Regions from separate parts of the Mus musculus genome. Here regions 1, 2, 3, 4, 5 and 6 are each reported to be linked to region 7. The links are microRNA targets in miRTarBase. Many come from high-throughput screens and were not tested one by one. Region 7 holds a microRNA gene; each other region holds the end of a gene's coding sequence. Distances are from middle to middle.
The links. The annotated mature microRNA mmu-miR-335-3p reads UUUUUCAUUAUUGCUCCUGACC and lies in region 7 at 2,639-2,660, opposite strand. An mRNA with a match to its seed (bases 2 to 7 or 8) in the 3' UTR can be bound and repressed. Matches are read on the target gene's strand: a 7mer-m8 pairs with bases 2 to 8, a 7mer-A1 pairs with bases 2 to 7 and ends in A, and an 8mer does both.

Region 1: the mRNA of Tmem255a is a reported target of mmu-miR-335-3p. Seed matches in the 3' UTR shown: 7mer-A1 at 1,352-1,358 and 7mer-m8 at 1,866-1,872.
Region 2: the mRNA of Opn5 is a reported target of mmu-miR-335-3p. Seed matches in the 3' UTR shown: 7mer-A1 at 3,454-3,460.
Region 3: miRTarBase lists Ppm1k as a target of mmu-miR-335-3p. Seed matches in the 3' UTR shown: 7mer-m8 at 3,163-3,169 and 8mer at 3,947-3,954.
Region 4: miRTarBase lists Cdc23 as a target of mmu-miR-335-3p. Seed matches in the 3' UTR shown: 8mer at 1,532-1,539.
Region 5: miRTarBase lists Zeb1 as a target of mmu-miR-335-3p. Seed matches in the 3' UTR shown: 7mer-A1 at 3,742-3,748.
Region 6: the mRNA of Rabepk is a reported target of mmu-miR-335-3p. Seed matches in the 3' UTR shown: 7mer-A1 at 992-998.

What each region holds. Positions count from the first base shown.
Region 1 is chrX:38,195,929-38,200,330 of GRCm38, reverse strand. Tmem255a (transmembrane protein 255A) reads left to right here. Exons shown (of 10, transcript NM_172930.4): 10 at 675-3,034. The coding sequence ends at 839. Zbtb33 (zinc finger and BTB domain containing 33) reads right to left here. Exons shown (of 2, transcript NM_020256.2): 2 at 3,285-4,402. Among named protein-coding and RNA genes, the nearest start is that of Zbtb33, 8.3 kb to the right of the region's middle.
Region 2 is chr17:42,553,920-42,558,321 of GRCm38, forward strand. It overlaps Opn5 (opsin 5), which reads right to left. Exons shown (of 7, transcript NM_181753.4): 7 at 2,864-3,627. The coding sequence ends at 3,550. Among named protein-coding and RNA genes, the nearest start is that of Opn5, 55 kb to the right of the region's middle.
Region 3 is chr6:57,507,088-57,511,489 of GRCm38, reverse strand. It overlaps Ppm1k (protein phosphatase 1K (PP2C domain containing)), which reads left to right. Exons shown (of 7, transcript NM_175523.5): 7 at 641-4,402. The coding sequence ends at 772. Among named protein-coding and RNA genes, the nearest start is that of Ppm1k, 26 kb to the left of the region's middle.
Region 4 is chr18:34,629,908-34,634,294 of GRCm38, reverse strand. It overlaps Cdc23 (CDC23 cell division cycle 23), which reads left to right. Exons shown (of 16, transcript NM_178347.4): 16 at 131-2,612. The coding sequence ends at 301. Kif20a (kinesin family member 20A) reads right to left here. Exons shown (of 19, transcript NM_009004.4): 13 at 4,129-4,293; 14 at 3,869-4,008; 15 at 3,671-3,773; 16 at 2,954-3,149; 17 at 2,683-2,774; 18 at 2,232-2,369; 19 at 1,018-1,994. The coding sequence ends at 1,680. Among named protein-coding and RNA genes, the nearest start is that of Kif20a, 7.2 kb to the right of the region's middle.
Region 5 is chr18:5,772,540-5,776,941 of GRCm38, reverse strand. It overlaps Zeb1 (zinc finger E-box binding homeobox 1), which reads right to left. Exons shown (of 8, transcript NM_011546.3): 8 at 1,474-4,402. The coding sequence ends at 3,876. Among named protein-coding and RNA genes, the nearest start is that of Gm34740, 120 kb to the left of the region's middle.
Region 6 is chr2:34,775,636-34,780,003 of GRCm38, reverse strand. Rabepk (Rab9 effector protein with kelch motifs) reads left to right here. Exons shown (of 8, transcript NM_145522.4): 8 at 475-1,338. The coding sequence ends at 767. Hspa5 (heat shock protein 5) reads right to left here. Exons shown (of 9, transcript NM_001163434.1): 9 at 3,475-4,368. The coding sequence ends at 3,891. It also overlaps the pseudogene LOC115489640. Among named protein-coding and RNA genes, the nearest start is that of Hspa5, 5.7 kb to the right of the region's middle.
Region 7 is chr6:30,739,612-30,744,013 of GRCm38, reverse strand. It overlaps Mir335 (microRNA 335), which reads right to left and starts at 2,715; the gene lies at 2,618-2,715. It overlaps Mest (mesoderm specific transcript), which reads right to left. Exons shown (of 12, transcript NM_008590.2): 2 at 3,190-3,344; 3 at 1,794-1,873; 4 at 1,409-1,486; 5 at 1,162-1,298; 6 at 942-1,000.

The DNA.
Region 1 (4,402 bases), not on the chromosome of region 7:
CCAAAGTTAGACAAACAAAAAATAAAATTGAGTTCTCAGTCTCTTTGGAAAACTGACAAATTGTTCCTCATTCTTATCATTGGTTTTCTCACCCCCATGCCTTTGTTAAGCCTTGTTTTCTGATCTATGGCGTGTATGGGTAATGAAAGGAATGGTAGTTTATATGGAACAGGACTTCACACCCCGGGACCCAAGGAAGCCAACTGATTTGTCTAACCTTGGACCCCTGATCCCTAGACATCCCAATGACATATTCTTACAGAAAAGTTTTTTTTTTTCCCTAGGGATCAGTTACTTACCTCATCAAACATTCTTAAACCCAGACATTTTGAAAGACTAGTCATAAGGCTTAAATCATAGCGTAGGAGAGAAGAACTCATGGGCTGAATGACACACAGAAAATGGAGTGATGTCTTCAAGAGGCCACACAGCAGAACAGGATCGAGTAACTGTCTAGATGCAGAGTTGAAGGGGCAAGGGAGGAAAATTCCCAGTGTTTTCAGTCCGAATAACTTGATGTGGGGCTGTTTTATGTCCTTTACCGATACCATAAGATTTAAGGGCTATTTTCCTAAACAGGAGCACATTTGGTGTATATTCATTTTAAATAGTAATGGCTGTGGAAGGAACTGCACTCAACTCACTGCCTGAGCTGTTTTCTCTTTGTTACACAGCATTCCGGTGTCTTTCCATCCTCTCCTCCTTCTGGACTCTCCGATGAGCAGGAGCCCCAATCGCCCTCTCCTTCACCCAGCTACATGTGGTCCTCCAGTGCGCCACCCCGTTATTCTCCACCCTACTACCCACCTTTTGAAAAGCCACCACCTTACAGTCCTTAAAGAGGAATACCTGTCGGCTATTGAGATTATTGTGGCTTTTGTATTTCTGCTCTAGTGGAAGTGTGTAGGTTACATCTAAAGTGTGACTCTTCTACATCAAGTTTTACAACAGCTTGCCAAGCTAGGGAAAGATAGGGATGAAGCTTACTCATTATCAAGGAAGGACAGGATTGGCTAGGCCAAACCTAGTACTTCGAAGAAAGCAAGTTCACTAAGCAGGGCTGGGGAGCCAGTCCAGCAAGAAGCATGGCTTCTTCAGATACGCATTTCCTGATGCTCCGCCTCTATACAGTACAAGTGTGGTTGCCATCTGTTTCACTTTAAGTAAACGACAGCAGTCCTCGGGCCCTTGGTAGATGACTATGATAGCACCTTGGTTGAATCACCTGGTCTATAGGCTCTATCTTTCCCTACAATTGATGTCACTCTTAGGAAAATTTCGTAGCTGATTGGGCTACACAGTAGTTCCAATACAGAAAGTTGTGGCTTTTTGTTTGCTCGTGTCTGGATATTGAAAAAAAAAAGCTGCCAATCTCTTTACTCTGTTCTCCAAGTCGTGTAAAAATGGCTGTTGTGATCATTCAGCTTTTGTGGCTGGTACCTCCTAAGGGGAAAAGTGCAAGAGTCCCTTCTCCTGAGTGGTGAGAGACCATGACCGGCTGATGGAGAAGCACGGAAATACAGAGCAACATGTGTGCTGTTTTCGGTAGATCTCAGCATACATCTGGCAACTTAGGAGACAGTGTTCCTACTATATGTTGCATTATTACAAAACACATTTGCTACTGGAGATAGACATCTTACAGTTGAAATTCAGAGTTTAAAAATGCTAGATTAGATTGGATCGTGGTATGAATTGTTACTTATCTTTGTGACTATTTAATCTTCAGCTATTGTGCTTTCACCCCAGCAAACCGCACGGTCCTGCACCCCACCACTGAAAACTCATCTGTATTTTAATGCCACTGCTCTTATTGGTCCCTTTTTTCTGTTGAGATCAATTGTGACAGCATTCAATTCAAGATTATGAAAATGCTACAATGCCATTTCAAGTCTTCAAGACCTCAAATATAGCCAACTTGACAAACTCTTAAGTGTTACGCATTTAAAAGTCCACCGGGCATAGTGTGGTAGTTATATAGTTGTTTTAATGATACAGAGCTTTAAACCATCAAACTGTTGAGACTCTAGCACCCATGCCTTCACTCCAGCATGAACACATTCACTGGGATTTTATTTTAACCTGAGAAATGGTTTAAAAGAAGATTGATAATCCTACACTTGTATTATGTAAAAGTACAGGAGCTACAGAGGACGCCTAATTAGACAGTTCTGCAAACACAAGAACACACACTGGAAACATTTCCAGCCCATTTCGCTGCCTCCCTTCTTTGATGGTTGGAGGCAGCAGACCAATGCTGGTGCTCCCATCTACCTTGTAGACACCTGGTCATCAAGAATCACCAAGGCACAACAAGTGCACTCACTGTTACGGTAAATGTTTGCAAAACATTCAGTTTAACTTTCAATGTCTCTTATCCAGTCTTCAAATCCAAAAGACTACAATCCTTTTATGTTACACAAAATTACTGTTATTTTTTCAGTTCTGAACATATTAAAATTCTATTGGGCTTCAAAAAGGACTAATAATCAATTGACTTATAGAGATACCTAAGGGTTTTTTCTTCTCACTTACACTTTACCCCTTGCTGTAGGGAATGTGTGTATTTTAAAGGCACCATTACAAAGTATATCTTTTATGATCACATTTCTTAAAGTGTTAAGATTCTATGACTCATTTCTATGTATTTTTTTTACTTTACAAAATAACTTGAAACAGTATAGATTTTGTAACACTTAATTTGAGCAGCTTTTTTTTTAATCACATTGAATTATATCAAGTGCATGCTACCTTAGGAAAAATTATATTTGCTGCTTCACTCTTCTGCAAAACATTTGCTGTAATGAAGGAATTTGTATTTCCAATGTATCTTGACGGCATTTTATAACATTTACTGCTTTCTTCCTAATTCTGCTCTAAAGTATTGAACTTGGCATGAAATATTAAAATATTAATTCAAAACCTGTATAAAATAGATGTTGCTTAAAATTTGTATCACTGCCACGTTGGAAACCCAGACAGCTTTTGTGATGTTTCAAATTAATAAAATTATCTTCCCTATCCACTTACAGGTATTCTCGTGGTGTGTTGAAAAGTACAGCAGGCACTCTAAAACAACTGGCAATGCCAACTTACTTTTAACTGCAATGGTTCAAGAAACAATGGGACGTGCTTAACCAAAACACAGAACCTAATGACAATTTCTGCCATGCTGTCATCACAAATACAGCTTCTCTCCTGCTATGGAAAAAACCATGAAACAATAGGATTGAAAGACTATTCAATTCATTTACCACAATCTTGCAAAAAAAATCACTCAGAAATTAGAATGAATATGTTTTATTTTGTGATAAACTCTATGAACTAATATCAGGTAACAGTTAATGAAAAGCAGAACTTATGATAAGGAAGATTGTACAAATATGAAAATGTACAGTAATTGGGGAAATGAACAAGGTTTCATATGACTAACAGAGGTAAAGAAGCCAGTGCTATTGAATTTACATTTAATTCCTCAAAATGCACACACTATAACATTTTAAATGCCTACAGCAGGGTTCATTTGTTTTTATCTTTTTAGCCCAATTGAACAAATTCTTCAGTGACTCTGAGTGGAGGATAGTGACCACCAAAATGATAACAAAATTATCCCTATTTAATCTTGCAAGAATGCTATAACCTTTTTAAAATGTTGGCTTATACTTTGAACAAATTTACTATTTCAAATAGATTCTACCAAAAATAACTACAGATAATTTAGAAGTTGAGTGAAATTGAAGCCAACTTGAAAGAACAGTAAAAAAAAAAAAAATCAGTAGTCAGAAAGCTAAGTAGAAAAATATTCACAGTAGATTTTAAATAGCATTTTGCTACAAAATTCCAATCTAATAATGGCTAGGAGTAAAGAGTTATTGTCCAGAGGAGTATTCCACAAAAACCTCTCAAGGTTGGATATATAAAGCTATTTAAAAAATCCCCGAACACATGGAAGAGTCTTCCTGGCAAAATTACAATTTAACTTTCTAGTTCTTGTCCTCCCTGCAAACTCTAGAAGCTGCTTTTCAGTAGGCACAAAGTTTAAAAGTTCTTATTAGAGACTTGACAGAGCAGAGCACAGCAGTAGTAGTGAATCATTTGACCAATGTTATTCAGAACAGATAGTTTTTCATTATAAAATTCCCAGTTTGTTGTAATAGGCTTGTAGGAATTAGCAAGTCTTATTATGACAAACTGATTTTACCTAGCAGTTGACACCAAAACATCCTTATCACCGACACTGGTAGAAGCAATTATGTCTAACTGCTGAGACTGCATTCATGAAACACATTTTTCAATTGAGAGCTGCTTTTGAGCAGACCCTATATTCAAAAGGTAGTGCCATCAATAGCTACAGAGAAAGGAAATGAATATTGTGAGAGAAATCAGAGTCTTGAGCTATAAA
Region 2 (4,402 bases), not on the chromosome of region 7:
TTAGCCACCTTTGGGTCAATTTCCTCTAACTGGGCTGCCTTGTCTATCTTCAATAGAAAAAGATGTTCCCAGTCCTACTGATACTTGATATGCCAAGGTTGGCTGGGGGGAAGGATGGTGGGGAGGTGAGGTGAGGGGGAGAGATTAGGAGAGGATGGATGGGAAGCTATAATTAAATAAATTAATTAATAATAAAAAGAGAGTGTAAGAGCCAGGGGGTATGGAAGACATCAAGAAAACATGGTCTTCTGCATCAGTAGGATTGACTCACAGCACTTTCACAGGTCTGCTCCAGATGGGGTCCTAGAGCTGAAAGGAAAATGGGACATGCACCTCCATAACCCAGAAGCTTTCTCCAATTGATAGCCTCTTGCAAATGAAAATTTAGTTGTTCTCTAAGGGAGTCTCACTTAGGAAACAAACTACTCTTAATGTTAGGTTCCATTCCCAGCAGTAAATGACCAAGAGAAAACAAATTCATTGGCCTTTTTGAAGGTTCTTTGTCTCACAATTGTCATATCAGGTTTTTCCCCATTTTTAACCTTATCTTATTATTTTCATCCTTTTTTCCTTCTCTCTTTTTACCCTACAGATCCTCACAGAGTGTGTAGATATTATGCCTTCCAGTTTACTGTTTTTATGGGATTTCTGTGTGTGTGAATGAATGGTTTTCTGATTCCTGTGCCTTACCTTGGTTTTTTTTTTCCCTTCTGTTCCTTTGTCTTCTCCAATTCCAAGTGTTACTTTCATTTTATCTTATTTTTTTATTTCCTTTTATTTTCCTTTATTTTATTTCACTTTATCATTATCCTTTAGGACCCTGTTTGTTTTCTAAAGAGAAACAGGAAAGAAGTGGATCTGGGTCAGAGGGGATGTGGGGAGGAATTGAGAGTGGCTAGGGAGATGGGAAACTATAATCAGGATTCATTATGTGAAAAATAATCTATTATCGATAAGAAGAAAGCTGTCTCTTGTGAGACTATGCCGGGGCCTAGCAAACACAGAAGTGGATGCTCACAGTCAGCTAATGGATGGATCACAGAGCTCCCAATGGAGGAGCTAGAGAAAGTAGCCAAGGAGCTAAAGGGATCTGCAACCCTATAGGTGGAACAACATTATGAACTAACCAGTACCCCGGAGCTCTTGACTCTAGCTGCATATGTATCAAAAGATGACCTAGTCGGCCATCACTGGAAAGAGAGGCCCATTGGACTTGCAAACTTTATATGCCCCAGTACAGGGGAACGCCAGGGCCAAAAAGGGGGAGTGGGTGGGTAGGGGAGTGGGGGTGGGTGGGTATGGGGGACTTTTGGTATAGCATTGGAAATGTAAATGAGCTAAATACCTAATAAAAAATGGAAAAAAAAAGAAAAAAAAAAAAGAAGTGGTTCACAACCACCTTCAACACCAGGGAATCTGACCTCAACAGACACAGAATTTACATTTGTACACACATGCACACGCACACACACACACTTTAAAATAATAAAGTCTAAAAAAAAAGAAAGTAATAATAATACTTATTATTTTTGAACACTGGCAATTGCATTTAGAATCCCTCAGGTGTTTAGTAAATGTCCCGTCACTGAACTATATTATTAGACCAGAACATCTTTAATTTTTAAAAACAGTCTGAGTTGAGTTTTTTTTCCTTCATGCAGTAGTGGATTTCATACAAATAGTCGAGATCTTTCTTATCTCTGGCCTTCTCTTCATTACCTTATGTCACAATTTGAATATGAAGTGTCCCTCACAAAGGTTCCTTTGAGGACAGTTTGATTCCCTGCTACTGCTGTTGAGTGGAGATTGGGTCACCAGGGTGCTTTTTCATCAATAGTTCATACAAGGATCAAAGAAGCTTGATCCTTGTGCGGGTCATCTAGACAGCAAACAGAATAATCCGAGGTTCCTGTCTCATAACCATCTCATAGTTTTAGGGGTTTTGGTTGGTTGGTTGAATTTTGTTTTGTTTTGTTTTGTTGTTTAATTTTATCTTATTTTTATTTTATTTATATGTTTATTTATATTTTTTTCTCTCTTTGAACCCTCCAGGTTCTTCCAGTTTAGTTTCCTTATGGAATTGTGTGAGCAAATGGGTCTCTGCATCTCTGTTTCTTCGGCTCTTTTCCTCCTGTTTGTCTCATCCTATTTTGATTTTTATCTTAGTATATGTTATAAGAGGAAAGAGTTATTTTCAATAAAGGAGAAAAAAGAATAAGCTAAAAAAGAAAAAAGAAATATTTCCAAGGAGCTAGAGAAAATACCCAAGGAGCTGAAGGGATCTGCAACCCTATGGGTGGAACAACGTTATGAACTAACCAGTACCCCGGAGCTCTTGACTCTAGCTGCATGTGTATCAAAAAATGGCCTAGTTGGCCATCACTGGAAAGAGAGGCCCATTGGACTTGCAAACTTTATATGCCCCAGTACAGAGGAATGCCAGGGCCAAAAAGTGGGAGTGGGTGGGTAGGGGAGTTGGGGGGGTATGGGGGACTTTTGGAATAGCATTGGAAATGTAAATGAGGAAAATACCTAATTTAAAAAAAAGTGAAAGAACTGGAGTGGAAGGAAAGAGAATGAAGAGTCCTTGTTCGCTTGACATTGGGTACAAGACTCCGTAATAGGAAAAAAAAAAAAAAAGAAAGAAATATTTCCAATCAATGGGCATTTCTTTTTCCTAAGCCCGGTGGTTTTAATATCAATCACCATTATGGACAAATGGAAAAAAAACAATCAGTGCAATTTGGCTGATTCCCTTAATGTAAGTTCCTTCATTTTAGTCCTGTTAGAGCTTCACAATGTTGTTGATTCTTGAGACATAAAATAAGCAATTCCAATAAAACGAAATATGGCTCAAAATGTTGGTGCAATATATTTTCTTTATTTAAAAAAAAAAGGACTTGAACAGCAGCTATGGCTTCAAAAGAAAACTATTTCAGTGTGCAAAGAGAGATGGACAGAGATGAAAAGTACTAATGCATTCTTTCCTAGTACAGTCAACAAACTGTTCTTCAGTTCGACACACAACTGGGACAAAGTGAATGAGTCAAACACTAAAACATCTTCTGAATGTTCTCATAGAGAGTACTTACAAATACTATGTACAAGTTGACTTGACAGAGTATGCTGTTAGAAGCTTCCCAGATAAATGTTCAAAATTCTAACCGTGTACAAGAAGTGGTTGACAGTTTCAAAGGCATGTTCACAGTCATGAATGCATCGATAAGCTCCATTACTATCACGATGAATAGGAAGCTTAAGGGGTGATGCACTTCCCAAGCTTAGGATGTGCTTTCTCCTTAGAACACTTTAATCGTCTTATAAAGCCTAAAGAGTGGACACTTCACATGCTATGTATTCATGATTAAACTTCAATATCAACACTGCAGTCAACGCTGACCATATGTTTTCTCAAACTTAAAAACAAATGCAAAGAATACACTACAGCTTTTTTTTTTCAGCATTTCAAAGAGTATATTGAAGCTGGCCACTTATTTCTGAAGCCCTGATGGACAGGTGCGGGGTTTCTCGGCCTCAGAACACAGGTGCTTATTTCTTGCCACAGTCACCATCATTACTGTGACTCTCTCCATCCATAACATGGGCACTAGTAAATCTGGAACTGCTCTGTTTGAGAGAACAACAACATTTTTGAGGTGCACGTCTGCTAATGTCAGGCTGTCTTCACCAGCTTCCCATTACTAGTCACAGACTCAGAACGCTGTAGATAGTCTACAACCCCTGACCCACACTCTCCGAAGCCAGACTTGGATCTGTATGGATTTGCCCGCATTTCAACAATGATCACTGGAGCAGAAATGTTTAATGCTTACCTTAGGACACTCCAGGAAGATACTACAGATGAAGCCCAGTTCAAAAGAAGGAGCTTCAAGAATAGAGTCTGAACTCAGCTGAACTTAAAACTAGAATGAACTATGGTGTAATGCCTCTCTAGAAAATGAGTAAAGGCATTCGACTGATTTTGAAATAAAACCAGTGACCACAAGAATATAGTCAATTATTCAGAAAACTTCAAATATAGTGCAATTATTACCATATATTTTTAAAAAGTATTTTAGATGAGAGATGGATTAAGTACATATATATATGCAAAGATATACACATATATATGCACATATACACATATATATGCATGTACTTAAATAGATGAATGGATGATAAGTATATGGATGAATAGAGATGATAGAGAGAGAGAGATTTTTCCTTCAATTCTCCCAAGAAATAGAAAAACACATTGTACATTTATGATAGAATTTACTTATCCTTTCACAATTTAGACAGTGCACTTCATGTAAAGAAAACGCCACTCCTAAAAAGATTGAAAACAAATCATTTCCTCCAGTGGATTTAATCTTAGATATTCTAGCCTAGCCCTTCGCTG
Region 3 (4,402 bases), 27 Mb from region 7:
TGGAACTCTCAGCACTTCCAAACACTGCTGACCAGCACTCATCTATGTGAACTGGTCCCTAAAAGTGATTTATAATCCTGCTGCAGGCAATTTCATTTATTTCCACTTTCCCATTGAAGAAGGAATATTAAAAACATTTTTGTTATAACCTTGTACATACCCATTTCTGAGGTTTTAAATGTTAAGGTAGCTTATACAGTGGTAGGTTTCTAGCCGCACTTTCATACAAAGATGTTCCTATATTTTGTTCCTTTTTATCCCTCACCCAATCTCTTCCATTTCTTGGGCTATACTCCTACCAGCAGTTTCATTGGTAAGAATCAGCATTTATTAAGGCTTGCCCATAATTGGTACCATGCTAAGGGCTTTGGGTGTGTCCTCACTGGGAGCACAGGTAATTTCTATTGCCAAGATTGCTACAGTGGAGCATAGGATATAGTTGAACCATCTGAAATTCATATGCACTTAATAACCATATGGCACATGGTTACAGGGTGAAACCATTCCAAACCTTGTTAGGTAGTTACATTTGTATCGTAAAGTGTGTGTAGAACCAGTTGGCCTTCCAGAGAAAGGATGCTGTGTGATTGCACAAGGTCCCTTGACTCCAGCGCCTGTCTCTTCTTCCCCACTCCTGCAGGCAATACAGTACGGTACCGAAGACAACAGCACTGCAGTAGTGGTGCCCTTTGGTGCTTGGGGAAAATACAAGAACTCTGAAATTACCTTCTCATTCAGCAGAAGCTTTGCCTCCAGTGGGAGATGGGCCTGATCGACAGCTCAGACTCGGAGTTCCTATGCAGCAGTGTCAGTGGGCTTATCAAGAAACTGGTAACACACAGAAGGCCACCTGTACCCGTGTGTCATTGTGACTGATCGATCCTAACAGTATAAGCTTACCAGCCACATACCCAGTAGTATTTTCATAAATCCTCATCATCATTATGGTCAACTGCACATGCTCAGTGTAAGCATCATAACACAGCTGTGAAGCCGCTGTGCATCTCTGAGCTGAATGGGAGAAGAAGCGGTTTTGGTCCATTTGATGAGTGATGAATCTGTGTTTCCTTTGTAAGGCTAGAGATTGAATCTGGGGCTTTCTAAGTTTTTAAGACTAAGAGGCAGATTTAGTTTCTTTTTAGTAAGTTTGTTCTTTATTCAGTTGGACAGGTATTTTTTTTTTTGAATTTTGATAGCTGGTCAATGTGTTATTTGCAAGTGTTCCTTTTTCCTTTCTCTGTAGAAAGCAGGTTTTCACTGGCTGACCTTGAACTCCTGGGTTCAAATGGTCTTCCTAACGTCAGCTTCCTGAGTACCTTTTAATTTTTTTTTTTTTAAAGCAGAACAAGCATATTTTTTCCCAAGAAGAGTGAGAACATATACCTAGGAGATGGGGGCATTCCAAGGGAGGGATACAAGGGATATAAGAGATAAAGGGATACAAGGTACATTTTAATAAATGTACCTAGGAGTTATAATAAAGCCTAGGTTCTCTATGACTGAATAGTGTACTCTGGATCACTTATTAGTAAATTTAACCCTGCAAAATACATGGCTAAAGTGTATACATATTTATAAATAGCTCTCTTGTGTATTTTAAATATTTTTAGCACTTCCCCATCCATTTCTATTTTTGTGGAGTTAAATATGCTATATATTGGTAACTGTTCGGTAAGCTCCAGAGAAGAATATTCTGAGGCTTTGGTCAAAATCTGTAAAGTGAAACACTGACAGTGCCAATCTTGTGTAAGTTTGTTGCTGTGTGGTTTGTATGTAGCGTTTTTATACCACTTTCTGTGCACACAGTAAGCGAGTTGGGGCCTTTGTTAGTAAAGATAATATTACAATGACTTATACTGCTATAGACATAGCTTGGGGTTTATGTCTCCAATTTCCTCATTTCTAAGATTCATGCGGAAAAAAAAATCTTTTACAAAGGATATTCAAACATGTCAGCTTGCTATGTAAATTAGGGGTGTAAAACCACACTCCTTTTTACCTGCATATAAAATTACTGTCAAACTGTGAATCCCTGAATGTGTGCTTGTAGTTAATCTATATTTTCACAGGGTAATTTAAATTTAGTATATGTGCAGTGAGTGTATATATGTATATTTTGAAGTAATATAAAATTAAAGGGAACAATCTTGTGGCGCATTTATCAGCTAGCTGTAAATTATTGATATATTTATCTCTAAGGACACTCAATAACATTGAGTGTCAAATTCTCTGTAATAAAGATTCAGTTGTTACTGGTAGATAACCACTATGGATTACAAATAAATATGGGGGCCAGTATTGGTGGCCTCTACCTATAATCTCAGGACTTAAGGAGGAGACAAGAGAATCGGGATGGTAACTTTGAAATTAGCCTGAGCTACAGAGCAAGTTCCACGGTAGCCTGAGCCACAGCTTGTCTCCCCGAACAAAGTATCAGCAACAAATGGCTGTAAGAGACATTTTATTAGGTGTCACGTATGTGGATAACCAAAGAACAGAGGCAGACATATCGTTGTGTGGTAATTCGAATATAAAGTTATGGGATATGAGAAGAACAGGAAATGTCAAAAGTGACTTGGAATTTTATGGCAGAAAACAAAGGAAAAATAATGAAATATATATACCTTCAAGTCTGACATGTTTTCTGCCTTTAACTTTTGTTTAAAATATTTAGTAGAAATAAAGAATAAGTTCTCAATAAAGAATTTAAGGGGGCTGGTGAGATGGCTCAGTGGTTAGGAGCACCCGACTGCTCTTCCGAAGGTCCAGAGTTCAAATCCCAGCAACCACATGGTGGCTCACAACCATCCGTAACAAGATCTGACTCCCTCTTCTGGTGTGTCTGAAGACAGCTACAGTGTACTTACATATAATAATAAATAAATCTTTAAAAACTAAAATTAAATTAAATTAAAAAAAAAAGAATTTAAGGTCTTTTCATGGATGTCAGTTGAAAGAAACAATGCTTTTCCAGACATGTTAGCTTACATGTGCAGTTCCAACATCTGGGGAGGCTGGGGCACAGTCATCCTGAATAGCAAGAGCCCAGGTCAAGGGACAAAATACACGGAAGAGAGTAGAGGACGTGCTCACTGTCCGAGGAAGAATGGGGAGACTAGCAGAGCTTAAAGGCCTTCTTGTTGAGTCTGGTGTTGAAAAGTTATGAAAACAACGTGTTTGTTTGTTTGTTTGTTTGTTTTTTTGTTTGTTTTTTGGTTTTGGTGTTTTTTTTTTTTGGTGTTTTTTTTTTTTTTTTTTTTGGTTTTTCAAGACAGGGTTTCTCTGTGTAGCCCTGGCTGTCCTGGAACTCACTTTGTAGACCAGGCTGGCCTTGAACTCAGAAATCTGCCTGCCTCTGCCTCCCAAGTACTGGAATTAAAGGCATGTGCCACCACATCCTGGCTTGAAAACAACTTTTAAGAGTATGGAGAACTTGTAAACTAATATGCACAACAAAATTCTCAAACATTAAAAATGACAACGTGGTGTGTCTTATTTGTTTCTGTTTTGTGTTCTTCACATTGCTGGTCTCCCTCCCCCCTTTACTTTGAAACTAGGATTGAGAATGACCTTGTGATGTTCAGAGGTTTGAGGGTCATTCATAGATGAAGGCGAGTTCCAGACCTGACAAGGAGGAATCTGTAGATGATGGCCTTGGGCGCATTTGAGCCTGTTTCTTCTGGAAAAAGCTTTTGATGGTGGCGGTGAGGTTAGGAGTGTGTAGGTGTGTGTTTAGACAGACTTGTTTTAACCTCCTGAGTGCTGAGATTATAGGCATCTGCTTTCATGCCTGATTCTACCTGAAAGAAATTTAAAGCCCAAATTCAGTCACCCTTGATTAAGCATAAAAAGTGCTGCTCTCCATAGGGACTGGGCTGCATCCTTTCCTGTAGACTTTCTTAACACACATTTGTTAAGATCAAACCTGATAAAACTACATGTTAATATGAAAAATACATGTGTCTTTATTTTCTAAGTTTTTGTATTAAAATGTAATTTAAAGAGTATATTATAATCCTTTGTGATAGTTTATAATCCTAAATTCTTAAGTCTTTTGTCAATTCAGAAGTAAATGTGTCTTGCTTCCTGTCAGCTGTTCATGTGTTAGGATTCTTTGTGTCTCTTAGCTGCTTCAAATCTAGGCTCTGGTCCTCATCTGGGGTCAAAGGATCCCTTAGGAGGGGTCAGTTTTGCTTCTGATTGTTATATGACATGAACTTTCCCATATTATATCATTTAATAATTTTTATTTTGAAGAGGTAATAGCATATAATCTAAAATACAGAAATTATTTAAAATTTGACTATTAGTTAATTTTCTAAGACTGGATATGGAATTAATCTCATGGTAACAACAGGTTTTCATGTTATGAGAATGTTTCAGGGTGGGACCTGGGGAGTTC
Region 4 (4,387 bases), not on the chromosome of region 7:
AAATAGTACCATTTTTGAAAAGGGGGCAGAACTCCTTTTATTTGTAAGGAATGATCTGAACAGTATTTTAATAATCATTTTTTGAGATTAGCACTGAATATATTTTGAAACAGCTGTGACTTTGTTTCAGACCCGGGAAGAAGGTAAGGCCTTGCTCCGCCAGATCCTACAGCTGAGGAACCAAGGGGAGACACCCACCTCTGACACGCCGGGTACCTTTTTCCTCCCTGCCTCACTGTCTGCAAACAACACTCCTACACGCAGAGTTTCTCCACTCAACCTGTCTTCAGTCACACCATAGTCGACTACCCTCACGTCAGCACATTGCTAGACCAATATCAAACCTTACCTGCAGTAAAGAGCAGTCACGTCTGTTTTCCCAAGGACCTAGACAGAAACAGCCTGAGGGACAGCCTATGGAACCACCTTCAGAGGCAGGCAGAAATATGGTGGGGGAAAGATGGTCTTCTGCAGCCAGCTAGCAGTGCTCCCTTCTATTCAGAGTGGCAGGTCTTGGCCTTTCTAGCCACTCCCCCAACCCCCCAAGGAATCCCTTTTACAACACTTAACCAGCAGTGATGCCACAGAAGCAAGGTTTCGGCGCTGCTGAGAGGGGTAGACAAGAACGGAGCGAAGCTCACCATGCTTGGTGCCTGTCCTCTGCATGCAGGGAGCTCAGCTGTGACTTTCTTTTTAAAGACAGGGTTTCTGTGTATCCTAGCCTGTGGCCTTTCTGCCTCAGCCTCCCTAATGATAGCATTACAGGCGAATGCTGAGTGAGGCCTAACTAGAACGACCTTTATGTTACTGAGTGTACTGTTCGGATAAGAGATTAGGTTTAGAGTGGAGCTATCCATATGATCTTGTGTAGTTTTCCAAAGCAGCCTTCTAAAATCTTCCAAGTGAGTCAGTGAGTATGGACTGTGGCTCACATGAGGGCCAGATGGCCGCTGTGGCCATGCTAACTATATATATATGTGATGAAGCAACACAAGAAGAGAACTTCGTGGACATTATGGAAGCTTTTTTACTTCGGATTTTAAAGTCTCCAATTTGGTTTTCAACCTTATCTACAAGGTTGAAGAATTCACTGTGTTTTTCTAGGTTTCAGAGCCACTTGATGTCTGCTACAATGAGCTTGTGCAGTAGGTGCTATAGATCATTCTGTGGTTAGGAGCTAGCCTTCCTTCTCTTGTACTCAGAACATTTTACTCCCCATTTAATGGAAGGAACACTAACTGGGTGCCATGTGGTGGTGCATGTCTTTAATCCCATTTGGAGACAGGCAGGTGGGTGTTTTGACATAGCAACTTCCTGGCCAGACAAAGCTACCCAAGCCTCTTGGGTATCATTTAAAATTGTACTCATTTCCTAGTGTGCATTAGGCTGGTTCCCACTGCTGTTCCTGTCCAAGGGTCTAACAGGCCAGATGGTATTTATATCAATTTTCTGTCCCCCTTTTTATATTTTTCTAAATTTGGAATCCAAATAAAAGCATAAACAATGTCTTTATTCCATATAATATTTGTGCATGAAAAAAAAAACAAGATTACATAGGTGATTATAATACAATAATTCTGAATACAGTTCTGGGTGTATGCTGAAGCTTAAAAGAGACTTATCAGCTAAGCAGCTGACCAACCTCAGGGCAACAACCATGCATCTTCATCCCCACAACTTTAGTATTTTTTGCCAAAGGGAGATTTGAGTAAAGGAGAGTGCCGTGAGCGCAAGATCCGCGCATAAGGGCTGCTGTCTGTTGAGCTTTGGCAGGTAGGTGTTCGGGGAAGTAAGTTTCGCAGGAATGGTTTCTTTCCTGGGGGTTGATGATTTGGTTGCTGGTTTTCCTGGTTTGCTCCCAGCCGCTTTTTGGCAGAGGCTTGGCCTTGGAGCTTTAGCACAGTGTGATACTGCTCAGCAATGCAGGCTGCCTTTTTCTGAAGGTCCAGTTTCACTAGCACCATGTTATTCTGCAGCTCAGCCAGGGTCTGGTTCTAAGAACATTAAAAGTTAGAGAAAACATAATTATTGGGTATGCCATGTTTAGTTTAAAACATACATTTATCATTTAAGAGATCAGGTACCATTAGCAATGAGAAATGCCATAGCTTAGTGGTAGAGTGCCTGCCTGCTTAGCATACAGAAAGCCCTGGGCTTTATATGACATTAGCTTTATTTTTTCACTGGTTCTTCTCTCCCTCTCACGTACACACTGGCTAGGCTGCCCTCACCTGCTTGATTAAGATGTCATCACAGTTGGTTAATGCTTGACGAAGTTTTCCTGCTCCGGTGCTGTGGCAACAGGCTCTTTCTGCTGACTGCAGAGACTGTCCTAGTTTCTGGAGCTCTGTCCGTAGCAGTCTTATATTCTGAAAGAGTAGAAATCAGATTGTGGCCAAAATCAATCAACAGCCATTTGAAGACAGACTTAAGGAAGCCGGAGGCTGGTGAGCTGGCTTAGCTGGTGAGGGCACTTAGCACCCAACCTCGACAATCTGAGTTACATCTAGGACCCACATGGTGGGAAGAGAGAACCGTTCTTCTGGCTTCCACATCACTACATACAAATAAATAAATGTAAAGCAGAAGGCTTTCATTCCTCAGACCCTTGCAAAAAGAAAAACGCCTTATTCTCATTTAAACCCCTGACACAGGCCTTTGAAAGACATTAAGGTTAAATACCTTCTGGCCCTCCTCTAACTTCTTATCCACATCAATGGTGAAAGGCTTGGCTGGGGGTGGCGGTTTTAACACTTGCTGATACTTGTGCAGCTCTGAGGGGAGAAACACAGGACATATAGATAACACTTAATGCATGGGTTTTTCAGCTTTGGGCTTTAACAGCAGCAGAGTGAGATCTGGGTAGATATGACCCAGAGGTGGAGTCAGGACTGAGTTTGAATGCCAGCTTTCCCTCGCCCACTCTCACTGCTGGGCTTCCTGCCTTCCTCACCTGCAGTGGTAGAGCTTAACTCTGTTTTGCATTGCTCTAGTTCAGCTTTAACTTCCTGGAACTGCTGAGTGGAGGCAGACGCTGCCAGCCTCTGTGACCGCCGGAGGAGGGACAGCCCCCCTGACTGTTGTGCCGCTGGCTGCTGTTTGGCTTCCTGCAACAGAGTTTCTAGCTCTTCAATTTTTTCATCCCGCTCCTAAGAGGGAAGGAGAGAGCACAGTTGTCCAGGGTCAGACAAACGCCAGAGGACCAGACTAAAAGAACCTAAGCATCCTGTCCGTACCATTCACGCTGACGTTAGCCTGCAGCACACTTCATACTGAGCTCATCCCTCAACTTAAACTCAATAGCTGCACGATACTAAGGGAACCTAATAAACATTAATTATAGTATATACTACTGTTCTTTCTAGAGTTTATAAAACTTAGTTTGAGGCTGGCCAGAGCGACAATAGTGAGACCCTATCTCAGAAACCCATAAGATGCTGGCAGTGGCGGTGGTGGTAGGTAGTGTGTGCCTTTGTCCCAAGCACTTGGGAGGCAGAGGCAGGTGGATCTGAGTTACGGCCAGCCTGGTCTACATACAGAGTGAGTTCCAGGACTTTGTTTTTGTTTGGTTGGCTTGGTTTTTCAAGACAGAGTAAAAGTAGACATTTGTTTGCTCTGACCCAAATGATGGAAGCCGAGTGGCTGTTGAGACTGGCCAGGATAAACTCACCTGGATCTGCTCTTGGTAGAAAGTTGTCAGTGATTCCTTCAGGATCTTCAGTTTCTCCTCGTACAGTTCCTCCATCAGTTCCTTTTGGTTGTCCAAACGCTCACTGTCAGAAAGTGGTAGTGAGGATCCTGAGTGAAGCTGGAGAACAGAGCCTACACCCCACTGCTGTCCCTGTCACAGGGGCTGGGCTAGCAGTACCTGCACCACTGCTCCCGCTGTTGCATCTGTTCCACCATTTCGTTGCAAATTTCCTCTCGGAGCTGTATCTCCAACTGCAGCTTTTCTTGTCGTTCTTTTAAAAGTAGCGCTTTCATGGCTTCCACCACCTGGAGTAGTTCCTAGAAGACCACACCTATGAGCCCCCCTGCACTTTTTAAAAAGCCCCATATCGACCAGGACACCTTGTAGCACATGTCCAGCCACCAAGCTGCCACAACCGAACTGCCTTGTGTCCTCACCTCCTTGCCATACACGGAGACGTCAGCTTCGTCTTCAGGACTGTCCTCAAGGTCTGAGTCGGCCTTGTCCTCTTTCTCTAAGCCAGGGCCAACCTGAGGACTGTGCTTCTTGATGAATGAATGCAGGGATGGGATTCCCAGATGCACAGGTGGGGCGTGCACAAGCTGGAAGGGGAAAAAAAATCTCAATTGACTCCTTAACTAGAGCTATTTGTTTTTATTTTTCGAGGCAGGGCTTCTCTGTGTAGCCCTGGATGTC
Region 5 (4,402 bases), not on the chromosome of region 7:
TTTCCTTATTATCGGCTCTCTCCTGTTTTGTGTTTTACTTGTACAGTTTGAGGTGGAGGCTTGTATGAGTCCTTTGTTCTCTCCTGTTGTCAGCATTTAACACTGTGCCTTCTCTTGTACATATCACTTAACTTTATACTACAATTTTTGACATAAGATGCCATCATTGTGAGTCATATTTTTCATCAGGAACAACTTGATATGGCTTTGTAATAATTTAGATGATTTAAAAATGTATTTATTACTGATCTATGGGTGTTTTAAAACAATTTTATGATTAGTTTATGTGTGTGCATGAATGGCATGCAAATGCTGGTCTGAGGACAATATTAGAGTTGGTCTTCTCCTTCCACTGTGGGTTCTGGGATTCTGGAGTGCTAGGGATGGAACTCAGGTCGTCAGGCATTCTGGGTGTTTTTTTTTTAACCACTGAGTAGTTAGGCTGGTTTCCATCTCAAAAGTGAGAATTCTGTTATGCCCTATGTTTTTTCCCTGTAAATGACCCAGGAGTTATTGAGGTAAATAAATGTGTGTTCTGGGTGAATTTGTCTTTACTGGGCAGAGGTGTGTCTGTAGGTCTGAAGTTCTGTCAGAGGTAGAATTAATACATGGTTGCTTTAATATAGCTTCCCGGTGATCTCAGGTGGAATCCAGGATTAGATTTCTCTGTGAGTTTAACCCCTTTCCCTCCCTTAGGCTATCTTTCAAGTTTGCACTGGAAACTGAGAACAATCCCAAGTCTCCACCTTCCTCTGCCAGGATGCATGCTGCTCTCAGGGGTATTTTCTATTCCTCTTGCCTAGGGCTAGGCCAGGAGAATCCACCTCAACATGACATGTGATGCAGGCTGGACAGAGACATGTCCTTGGAGTCAGACAGGTCTGTGTGCAGAGCCCCATTCTACGTCTTCTTCATGTGGCTATGGCCATATGGCTTTCCCAGGTAGTTTTAAGGCTCTCTGAAACATAATCTTGATAAAAGCAGCAAGGCAGATGCATCTCAGGACACCAATGCCACTCTTTCCTGGTGTGAGGGGGCACTGGAAAGACCTGCTCCCTGATAATGTGGTTAGTTTCATTAGCCTTCTAGGCTCACGGATGAGGCACCATCTTCTCCAAGATTTACTTTCATGAGTAGTGGACATCCCCTAAGAATGGTACTTTAGCATCTCATAACCTTTACAGTACATTTTTTTTTTGGTATAGCTGGTGTTAGGGACAGGAAATTAGGCAGTCTGCTGACAGTGGACACAGGGGAAGTAAGGGCTGTGGTGTGGGAAGATGGGGAGCACACAAGATTGTAAGAATGTGGGGTCCTGGCATAGGATGTGTGTCCTAACTCTGTCAGAACCAGGTCTATCAAGTATTTTCGAGGTAGTCCCTCCCTGAGCTTTCAATGCCTGTACCCCGTACCATAAACTTGAGCACCCGAAAGACACCTAGAAATAAGCTCTCCACACATCACAACAACAGAGCAGCTTCCAAGGCAGTCATTTATTACATCTCCTATGGTAAGTGCCTATAAGACTCAAACAAGACCACCGGCACATTATGGGAATCATTTACCTTATGAACTTTCAGATTAGAGGCAAAACAGTGAGCACAGCTAAGCTCTGCAAATGTGCAGTTTCTGTGTTCATTCAATGAATGTCTGTTGAGAGGCAGTTCATGGGCAGGGGGCACATGAGGCATGACCATGACATGGGGAGGAACATCAGTGACAGTCCTTGAGCTGAATGAGAAGGGTTCAAAGAGTGGCAGAGTACAAGCAAAAAGCATCTTAAGCTTGCACAGCCCTGATGTTCCCTGAGGGGAAGGCTCTTGCTCTGTGGGTTTTGGAAGAAGGGACAACCTGTGCAGAGGGCTTCCTCAGGGAATTTCCCCCACAGGAAAAGGCATTCTTTGTGCTAAGTGTCTCAAATACTTTGTGTCAACAAACTCAGCTCAAGATGAATGAAGCTCTAGGATGTAATGCCCACTTCATAGACAATTTTCCAAAGGAAATTTGATGATCCAAAGAACGACAGCAGGTCAGGTTTGTTGATGCGTTTATTGTGAGCTGGGGAGTCTGGTAAAAAACTAGAAAATGACCATGGTGTAACAAGGAACTTAAAAGGAAGAGTCAGATTGGTAGCTTACATACATGGATACAGGAACAAATTGGCACATGTTAAACATTGTTCCCAACACTGTTTACAGAAGGCAATTCTAATTTGGCTTGCTAAGGGAATGAGTTATGGCTGGGCCAACTCTTAACAGAAGACTGCAGAGCGGCATGCTATGAGTCGCACACAGTGAGTGTCAAAGTGTAAGAGTTTCCTATTAAAAACTGGGGAAAGGGAGAATGACTTGATTGTAGTTGTAAAACTAATACCTTCCCATTTAAAGGCTGGTCTACAGTCGGAGGCAAGTATAAATGTTAACAGAACACTGTTAAATCAAATCTCAACGCACGGGAACCAACTGCATCTCTACTGTAAATCTTAGCAACTTTCCAAAATTTCATACTAAAATATATTATTGTATTAATACAAACTACAGTATTATACACTACACTGTGTAATAAATAAAGAAATATAAAAATAAGACACATAAATATAAAAGTTTTCTAAAACTAAAAGTACGTGTCAGTAAGAAGGGTATTAATACTGCCAGGCTTAAAGACATACAGTACAAAAATGTTGCACAGATCTATAAACTAAAAGAAATAAAATAATACTGGTAGGTAAAAATCAGCTGCTGTTGTTCATCACCTGGGTCCGTAATAACTAACATTTGGAAAACGGCTGTGAACCAAAAACCAATAGCGTATCCATGCCTGACACGCAAGTACATGGATTAAGTAGTTTGGAGAATTTCCCTTTTATTTCTGTAGAGACTTCTGAGAGTCAATCAACATGAAATGACTACTGAGGAACAAAAGTGTGAGATGCCCCAGTGCTTCAGCTTCTCTCACAGTCAGTGGTTTTGAGTTTTGTTTGGGAATTTTGACACAACAAACGAATCAACAACTGCTAGTTAATATAGGCCACACTGCGGGAAGGCTGTCAGAGCCTTGCAATACTGAGAATGGCACTTAGAGCACAGGTCTTGCTTAAGGCCAAAGGGACACAGCGCTTGCTTCCTATAGATCCTTCATGGTTGCTAACGTACGCAAACAATCACGAACACTGATTCTGCCGCCTCTGCCGGCCTTGCCACATCAACACTGGTCGTCCCTGGAGTCAGGACTCAACGACAACCTTTGAACTCCATTTAAAAATCACACGAGTAAGAAACTCCAGCTCTTCTCTGGCTGCTTCCTTAAGGCTAGCAATACATGTTAGATGGCAACACGGCATCTAACGTCAGAGGTCCTATCTCCTGACTGACTGGGTAGCAGCAGGTAGCCAGCACGGTTTGAACTGCTTTCTACTGCTCTGTGAAGGGAATTCTGTAGTGCAGAAGTTCTCACATTTTAAAAAACATAATAAAATACTGAAGCGGATTTAGCATATGTTTACCAATAAAAAAATTATAAAATTTCTCCCATTGTAGAGCTTAAGAATGAGCCAACGTAAGAGTGATAATACTGCTAGCCATGCCGGACGCCCATCCAGCCTCCTGTAACCTGCTGAGAAACCTTTGTTTTCTGAGTCATTAATGTTTTCTAAGCTGCTTCATGTTATAAATTTGTTCCTAACTTTGAAAACTGCATGAAAAATTACTAGGTTTGAGGTTCAGGCACACCCGGAATTTTTTTTTTTTCAGTTCTGACATTACACAGTAGTGAGCAGGAACCATAGCACAGGAGCCATGGAGCCATGTTTCCATGAAAAGCGTGGGTAATATAGAGCAAATTTCATTACCAAGTAGAATTTCCTTTTAGAAGAACTCCTAAGCTTCATTTGTCTTCTCTTCAGACAGCTGCTCACTCTCGCTTTCGCTCTCCATCTCGCTCTCGCTGGCCTTCTGCTCTAAGCTGCCTGCCTGCTGTGCAGCTCCAACCTCCACTGTACCATCAGTCTTGGCTGCTGCCTCATGCTCGGCTTCATCCGCTTCCACTTCCTCCTCTTCCTCCTCTTCTTCCTCCTCTTCCTCCTCCTCCTCCTCCTCCTCCTCCCCCTGTGGGTTCTCACATTCCTTTCCTTCCTGTAATTCTTCCATCTCTTTATCTTCCTCCTCCTCCTCCTTTTCACTGTCTTCATCTTCTTCCCTTGTCAGACTTTCTCTCTCGTCCGAGTCAGCCTGTGAGGGAGACGCCCGGGCACCAACATGCTCAGTCGCCAGGACTTCCGGCAGGACTTCGGGCCCAGCGTCTTCCTGCTCCATAGCATCTCTGTCTTCAGCTCCTCTCTTGCAGTAGGAGTAGCGGTGATTCATGTGTTGAGAGTAGGAGCCGGAGTGTGAGAAGCGCTTGCCAC
Region 6 (4,368 bases), not on the chromosome of region 7:
AATCCCAGCATCCGTATAAAAGCTAGGCATGGTCATGTGCGCCTATAACCCCAGCACTGTGGAGCAGACAGGCCGATTGCCAGGGCGCATTGGCTGGCCAGCCCACCTGAAATTGCAGCTTCTGGCTCAGTGAGAGATCCTTCCTCAAAGGAAAATAGGACAGATATGGACAGAGGAAGACATTTGTGGTCCTACTCTACTCTACCAAAACACACACACACACACACAGTGTACGTACGTATTTAAAAAAACAAAAACAACAAAAACACAAAATCCCACAGAAAAACAGGGTCTGACAAAGGCAGGCATCCTCCTGCCTGTGAGTCCTGAGTGCTGGGATTACAGGCATACACTGTCAGACCCAACCTGTTTTTCCCTTTATTTCCTCTTTGTGGCTTAAGTGATGTAGAACATCACTGAATACCTGTGGAACTATGTCTTAACAGGAGCCTTTGTTTTGTCCCCCTTACTCAGAAAAGCAGCACTGGACTGTACTTCAGTTTGACACTTCCCTACCCGCTGGACGACTGGACCACTCCATGTGTGTCATCCCATGGCCAGTGATGTCTACCTCTGAGAATAAAGACTCAGATTCTGTCATTCTAACCCTCCAAGATGAGAAAGGGGACGCTGCTGAGAAAGCAGAGACCCAGAGTGGAGGACCACACGAGGAGAGTCCAACTACTGTGTTGCTCTGCTTTGTGTTCGGTGGGATGAACACAGAAGGGGAGGTTTATGACGACTGTCTCGTAACTGTAGTGGACTAATAAAGCCCACATTTGTATTACTTGTGACTTTTTACAAAAGTGAAAACTCTGCCGAGCTACACTGCCAAATACTTTTTGCACAATATATTCTCTCATCCCAGTGCGGTGGTGCACACCAGGCATAGTAGCACACACCTTTAATCCCAGCACTTGGGAGGCAGAGGCCAGCCTGGTCTACGTGGTGAGTTCCAGGACAGCCAGAGCTACATAGTGAAACCCTGTCTTGAAAAACCAGACATAAAAAGCATATCCATCTTGCACTTAATCAACATTTTTAACTGGATAGCCTAGTGCAAATAATTCCATTATAAAGTTTTACCAGCAATAAAATCTGTAGATACCCAAGCTAGGTATTGGAGTAGACAATTACGAGTTAGACACTCTTTAATATGTATTAGCGAATCACTAGAAAAAAGTACAGGCAGGAGGCTAGAAAGATAGCAGTTACAAGAGCAGTGTGGGAGATCCTTATTTGGTTCATAATCACAATGACTGGGTGTTCACAGAATATGTACCTCCCCTAAACCTTGTTCAGGTGTGGGCATATTACCCATCTGGAAAAAAAAAAAGTAAAAAAAGAAAAAGAAAAGCTGGGTGTGGTGGTGCATGCCTATGTAGTAGGACCCTGCTGGTAATGGGGGACAAAGGATGAGGACTGGCTCTTGTTATTAACCATCCCTGGACCCAGCATGAAGTTGTACAAATCAATTTTAACATTTCACTTGGCCCCAAATACTTGTGTTTGATAGAAAAATCTGACAGCATAGGCTGGCCTCAAATTTATCATCCTCCTGCCTCGGTGTCCCAGTGTGCTAGGATTACAGACATGTACTATATCATGCTCCTCTCTCCCCTTTTAGGAAGTATGAATGGGAGTAAGACAGATGATGTAGAAAGAATCTCAAGGTGTAACTGTGAACTTGCTATAATCCTGCCTCAGTCAGCCTCCTGAGTGAAGAAATAAGTAGCATGAGCTACCAAGCCCAAGCTGGGTTCAAAGTGTATCAGGTAGTGTACAAAAATGAATCTCAAGAGTGAGACGGGGACTGGAGAGATGGCAGTGCTCTTCCAGAGGTCCTGAATTCAATTCCCATCAACCACATGGTGGCTCACAACCATCTGTAATGGAATCCAATACCCACAGTGGACTCAAATAAATAAAATCTTTAAAAAAAAAAAAAAAGTGAGACGGGGTGGGGGTGAGGCTGGCAAAGTGGCCCAGTGGGTAAGAGCACCAGCGCTCTTCCGAAGGTCTTGAGTTCAATTCCCATACCACATTAGCCCTGGACAAAAATCTTCACTGATCAAGACTTACTCTCAAAAATAAACAAGTCAATTTTAAAAAGTATGCTTCCATTATTTGGTTCTAACAGAAGATGGTTTTTATACATCTTTATGATCAGCAAATCATTCTTAACCTTGAGTCCTTGACCATATTTGGCCTTAGACATCTAAATCTGAGTAGTAAGTAGAGCACTCTACTGACCAACTGAGCCAAGTCAAGTGTCCAGTCTACAAGATCATGATAAACCCCAGGGATTTTTGCCTACAGCTGGGGAAGACAGGCCTCAGAAGATCTTAAAGCCACCAAGCTGGCTTCTTGATCTTGGGAAAATGATAACCACAGTATAAACATATTGCCTTATCTCCTTCCAAATGTACTATTAATAAAGAGTTGCAATGTAGTCACACACAAGAAAAGTCTTCATTGATCATATAGATTACCTAGATCATTACTCTCCTGATGTTGCCAGTCTAAACAATCCTCTCAACCAATCCTTTGACCATCAACTGACGTTTGTAATATCAGGGTTGCCATATACCCTATCCCTATACCAGTAAGACATTTTAGAAAAAGGGGTTCTGACCAATTAGGCTTCAGAGCATGTTTTGGTTCATGTAGCTCTCATGAACTACATAACTGAATCTAGTATTTAATTAATCCTGCCTCCAGCCTGAGTCACTACATCCAGTATGTGGTGCTGAGTATCAAATAAATCCAGGGCTTCATACATGCTGGATAAGTAAATCCTCAAGCTGTTAAATAACTTTCAACCAAACGTCTTCAAATATAAATTACAAACCAAATACTACCCAGTGATATGGACTCTTTAAGTATATCACAGGCCTGTGGGTACACACAAAATATAAAATACAAGTATATTTAAATTTTTTTCCAGTCCAGAGGATTAACAACACTAGGGCTTCACACTAGTGCTAGGCAACGCTCACCACTGAGCATGCACCAGCCTCAGATCCCTAGATTGGGCTTGGACTAAACACAGCCTGGAACATGATCAATTTATTAAGAGATTCCAGGCAGTACCACAGCACTACTTGTAACAAAAGTCAGAAAGGGCCATGGTGGTATACACTTTAATCCCAGTACCTGGGATCGAGAGACAGGTGGATCTGAGTTCAAGGCCAGCCTGGTCTACAGTGTTGAGTTCGAGGACAGACAAAGCTAAAGACCTTATCTTGAAAAAACTAAAAGCCCAGAAAGCAATTTTACAAAGGGGAAGTATGATTTCAACCATGTTCAAAAGAATTGGACTTAGGCATCCTGAAATAACCCTCGCCTAGGGGAGTAAACAGCAAACATCTCTACATTGTTATAAAGCTAAATAAATCTCCAAGAAGTGGTACCACCCCACAGCATCACAAGCCCCACTTCCCTGCCCACCGAAGAAAGACACACCTGAGAATCCAGTCTTAAATTTTAGTTATCTAAAATAAAAGATGGATATAATTACAAACTTTTCACAAAAATTAGACCAGTGTAAATAACAAACATTTATTGGTGTCACTTATGGTAGAAAAAAGTTCCTACACCACATGTGCATGACCCAATTGTTAAATAGACCATATCCAAGGTGAACACACACCCTGACCCACCTTTTTCTCAATTTTTAAAATAGCCAATTCCTCCTCTCCCTGACCCCAAGACATGTGAGCAACTGCTAATGAAAAGCAGTAAACAGCCACTTGGGCTATAGCATTTTCAACTCCACTCTGAGGTGAAGATTCCAATTACATTCGAGACTTAAGTTCTCTCAATTTTCTCCCAACGAAAGTTCCTGAGTCCAGTATTTACAATATTACAGCTCTAGCAGATCAGTGCACCTACAACTCATCTTTTTCTGATGTATCCTCTTCACCAGTTGGGGGAGGGCCTCCACTTCCATAGAGTTTGCTGATAATTGGCTGAACAATTTCTTCTAGTTCCTTCTTTTTGGCTTTAAAGTCTTCAATGTCCGCATCCTGGTGGCTTTCCAGCCATTCAATCTTTTCCTCTACAGCTTTTTCCATGGTTTCTTTATCTTCAGAAGAAAGTTTACCTCCCAGCTTTTCTTTATCTCCAATCTGGTTCTTGAGAGAATAAGCATAGCTTTCCAATTCATTCCTGGTGTCAATGCGCTCTTTGAGCTTTTTGTCTTCCTCAGCAAACTTCTCAGCATCATTAACCATCCTTTCAATTTCTTCAGGTGTCAGGCGGTTTTGGTCATTGGTAATTGTGATTTTGTTTTTGTTTCCTGTACCTTTGTCTTCAGCTGTCACTCGGAGAATACCATTAACATCTATCTCAAAAGTGACTTCAATC
Region 7 (4,402 bases):
GCTCAGAGCACAGTGGTAGTAACAAGCTCATCTGCAAACACGTGTATGTTTCTGTAGGTAGGCTCTTGTAAAAGAAAAATCACTCTTTGTTTCCACTGATAAAGGGACGGACCCACTACCCTTGTCCCAGGCTGCCCTGGAGGCATTCAGGTTGGGGCATTTGGGCATTTCTGGATTAATGAGCATCTCCATGATAGAAAAGATACACACACACACACACACACACACACACACACACACACACACAAAATCCCAAAACTTCCAAATGGTAAGACTCATTCCCAGCTGGCACCTGGCACTACCACCAATTAAGAGTTTATTAATGTAGCTTACCAGCCAGATCAATAGAATCACATTTGTGATAGCTCCTTTATTTTTTGTTTTTGTTTTTGTTTTTGTTTTCAGGACAGGGTTCCAGGCCCTGGCTGTCCTGGAACTCATTATGTAAATCAGGCTGGCCTTGAACTCAGAGATCCACCTGCCTCTGTCCCCCAAGTGTTGGGATTAAAGGTGTGCACCACTGCACCTGGCTCTTTAGAAACAAACAACAACAACAAAAATGTGTGTTCATTGTGCTTATGTATATATTCGTGCCAAGACACATGCGGAAGTCTGAGGACAGCCCAGAGGGATCAATCTTCTCCCACAACGTGGGTTCCAGAATCAAAGTCATATCCACAGACTGGGCAACAAGCCCCTTCACCCATTGAGGCTCCTGCCATCATGGCTATCCTTTTATTTGCTATAGATTTGAAAATATGTATTCCATAAATACCATCAACCATGAAAACTACTCATGGCACAATGAAGGTAAAAGATGCCCGATATATGGTGTCTGTTTATAATATCAGATTATTTTTAAATTTTTTTTCTTGTGTGACTTAAAAGGGTGACTTTTTGAAACTACACCCTACTTTTCCACCTACCACCAAGGCAATTACCTCCATTCGACAGACAGAGACTCTTTATGGTGAGCCGGCCAGATCGATTCTGCTTGTACCTGGAGCAGGGCAAGAAAAAAAGACACATGTAGCTCAGTAACTGACTCCCCACAAGGGCTGCAGACGACCCCTAGAGGTGTGATGGTCCCAGAATACTTGAGTTTCCCATTATCTAAAGCTACGACACCTGTGCAGAGGACAGAAGTCCGGTTTCACTGACCTGTACAGCAGTTCCTGAGCAACGATATCTCCATAATCGTGAGACAGCAGGTTGATTCTGCGGTTCTGGAGCCCCAGGTGCCGCAGAAGGGACTCTACGATGCTGGCCTGCTCAAATATGGAGTACTGATGTGGTCTCTGAGGAAAGGAAAGCCAGAGATACAACATGATGTTAGCAGTGCCTGCCAGACCCTCATTTGTACCCACCCACCTACCCCCATCACGGACCACACCCAGCTGCTGCTTACCGGCTTGTCACTGAAGCCAAAGCCTAAGAAATCAAGGGCGATCACTCGATGGAACCTCAGGGTCAGCCCTTCCCAGATCTGTTAAGAAAGCAAGCATGGTGAGCACTCTGCTCCCACTGCCCAGCCCCACAGCAAACAGGCCTGCATGCCACTGTACGGAGAGCGTAACTCCAGCTTTAATTTGGCAGTGTCCCTTTCTGCAGTCAGTATTTTACTCCCCTTACAGTACATAAAAAGCAATTCTACATTTAATGAGATTTTATCAAACAGTTCAAATCTGCAAAAGAATTCTAGGGCTGACCAGAACAACAACAACAACAAAAAAAATATCTTGAGTTTTGAGTATTTTTTTTAGGACATAAGCCAGACCTAGAAACATTATTACCTTGTACCAGTCATAGCTGGATGTTGGAAAGCCATGTAAAAGCACAACTATCTCAGGGCTTCCGACCACACCGACAGAATCTAGGAGGAAAATGAGAAATGAGGCAAACTGCATGCAAGGCAGCCTTGACGACACCAAAATCTAATCCAGTCAAAAGGATCAGACTAAATGAATGACATCACCATGCTGTGTTAGAAAGCAAGCTGACAGGACTTCAGGAGCTTCCTCCTAATCTGCGCTTTTAAATCGTAATGGCATGCTTTACATGAAAACCCTTAAAACAGTTTGTTCATCATCACTTAAGAGTTGTGTAGACATCCTCATATTTTCGCTGACATTAATATAAAACTCAAATTTTTAAATAAAAAGGAAAAACAGTTAAAATACTATAATCACAGCAAGCTAAAACTTCTTTGTCCCTAATCAATATTTATCACACCTAATATCTAAGATGTGACAGTTCTTCCCAGTGGATCACCTGAGCTTATACCATTTGTCCATATACTAGCAGAATTCATGCAACTCAAAAAATCAAACTGTTACAAAGATGGGCTAATAGTGATGGGAACTTTTTCTGTATGTGACATATTTCAGATTATTCAAACAATAAAATACCTTGCCAACAGTACTGGATTGAAATTAATACTGCTAGTGGAATAAAACTTTGGTAGCATGTTTTCAGAAATTATTTAATTAAAAGCAATTAAAATATCATATACTGGATTTAACCTAAAGAACCTATGCAAATAAGATGTAACACTGAATATCAAGTCTGGGAAAGAACAACAAGCCAACATAAAAAAAAAAATGCATACTTACTCGACTGGCTATAACCCATGAGAGGGGGTCAGGAGCAATAATGAAAAACGGTTTACGAAAAACAAACATTTTTCGTTATTGCTCTTGACCCCCGCCCAAAAGAAATCTTTTCCAATCTGTTTCTCGGTTTCTTCAGCTATAAAATGAGGTTAATGGCACCTATCTCCAAATGCTGTTGTAAAAATTAAGTGAAAAATGAAATAATGAAGGTTAAAATATAACTGAATATCCTGAGTGTGGTAATTAAATAGCAGTCATCAAGTCAATCTTATCAGCTACATATAACAAATCACGGAAAATAGTGCATGAATTTGGGAATGGGGTGGGGCGTGGGGGAAACAAAGGTATAGATAGATCTCGAAATACTATATAGCTTACCTGACACTAGGGGCGCTCAAAAGAGAAAAGTAATTTCTCAAATACAAATGGGGCTGCAATTACTACCAGGCACAATTCTACCCCCACCTTCACCTCACCTTCACTGTGGAGCAACAGACCAAGGGACACAAAATAAGTAACTTCAGCTGAAACCTACACGACCCACGTCCTTGGGATTCTCCAATAGCCCAGTTCTCACCTTGGTAGAAGATGCGTAGGCCTTTGTAGGTGAAAAACTTGCCAGAAGTCTTCCATGAGTGCAGAGCAGGGGAGAGCTGAGGGGGCGGGATGTGCAGGTACGCAGCCAGCAAGGGCACAGCCAGGAGCCCTACTTGGACCCACCACTCTCTCATCCTGTGGAAAAAGCAGCCAAGGTAACATTGTACACTTCCAAAAATCAGAATGAAACATGGGTGGGAAACCTGGGCACTGTGAGGTTTGACCCCACCCCCCATCCCTCCCCTCCCCTCCCCACCCCTTCCCACTCGACCCCTCCCCTGCCCACTCCACCCCTCCCCTCCCCACTTCACCCCTCCCTTCCCCACTCCACACCTCCCCACCCAACGTGACAATGGCATAAACTTTACCAAGAAGAATGTGATAAACACCTTTACCCTTTGACATCTGGCAGTCACTGTACTAGCTCACTACCATTCTTTCCAAGCACATATGTAACTTACTGCATGGCCTTAAGCAGAGAGCTGCTCCTGGGTTCTAACACATACATATCCTCTGACCAAGTGAATCCCCATTTGGCACTACTGTCTGCATTTGGGCTATGGAACTGTTGAGGGGAGAGACCAGGAGAATTCCAGTAAGCAGCTTTGCCCTGACCCTGAATATCTAATCTCTTACAAGTCTGGGCAGCAGATTATATTTGTGCATTCTTAGCAGACTCTTGAGGTGGTTCCCTTTTATTTAATTAAGACCCCACCCCCACACCTAGCACTCAAGACTTTTGTGGGGGGGGGGGGCAGGAGGGGGGGGGAAGCACAGATTTGTGGCCCCAGCTTGCCATGCCTGGATTTCAAAGGTCCAGATCAATTTATCCTGGAGGCGAGAAATAAGGCACGATTAGAAACCATTTCCTTTGTGACCCGCCATGGTCACCAAGGAAAGGGTTCTCTAAAGAATTGGGATAGTGCCTCCTAAACTAAAGCTACAGACATTAGGAAGTGAGCTACAAATAAAACCGCTGTCTTTGTATTTGAGTGCACCCTATACATAACACATTACCTGCAATTTGATGAAACTGACTGGGTTTTTGTGTGTGTGGGGGGGGTGTTCTCTGTAAACCTGAAATGGTGGGTAAAAACCAGCACCCCTTAGGAACCTCAGCTGCCTGCCTCAACTTTAGTCAGCGCTGAGACTTTTTTTTCCTTCCTCCAAAGTCACTGTCCAATAAAGACACA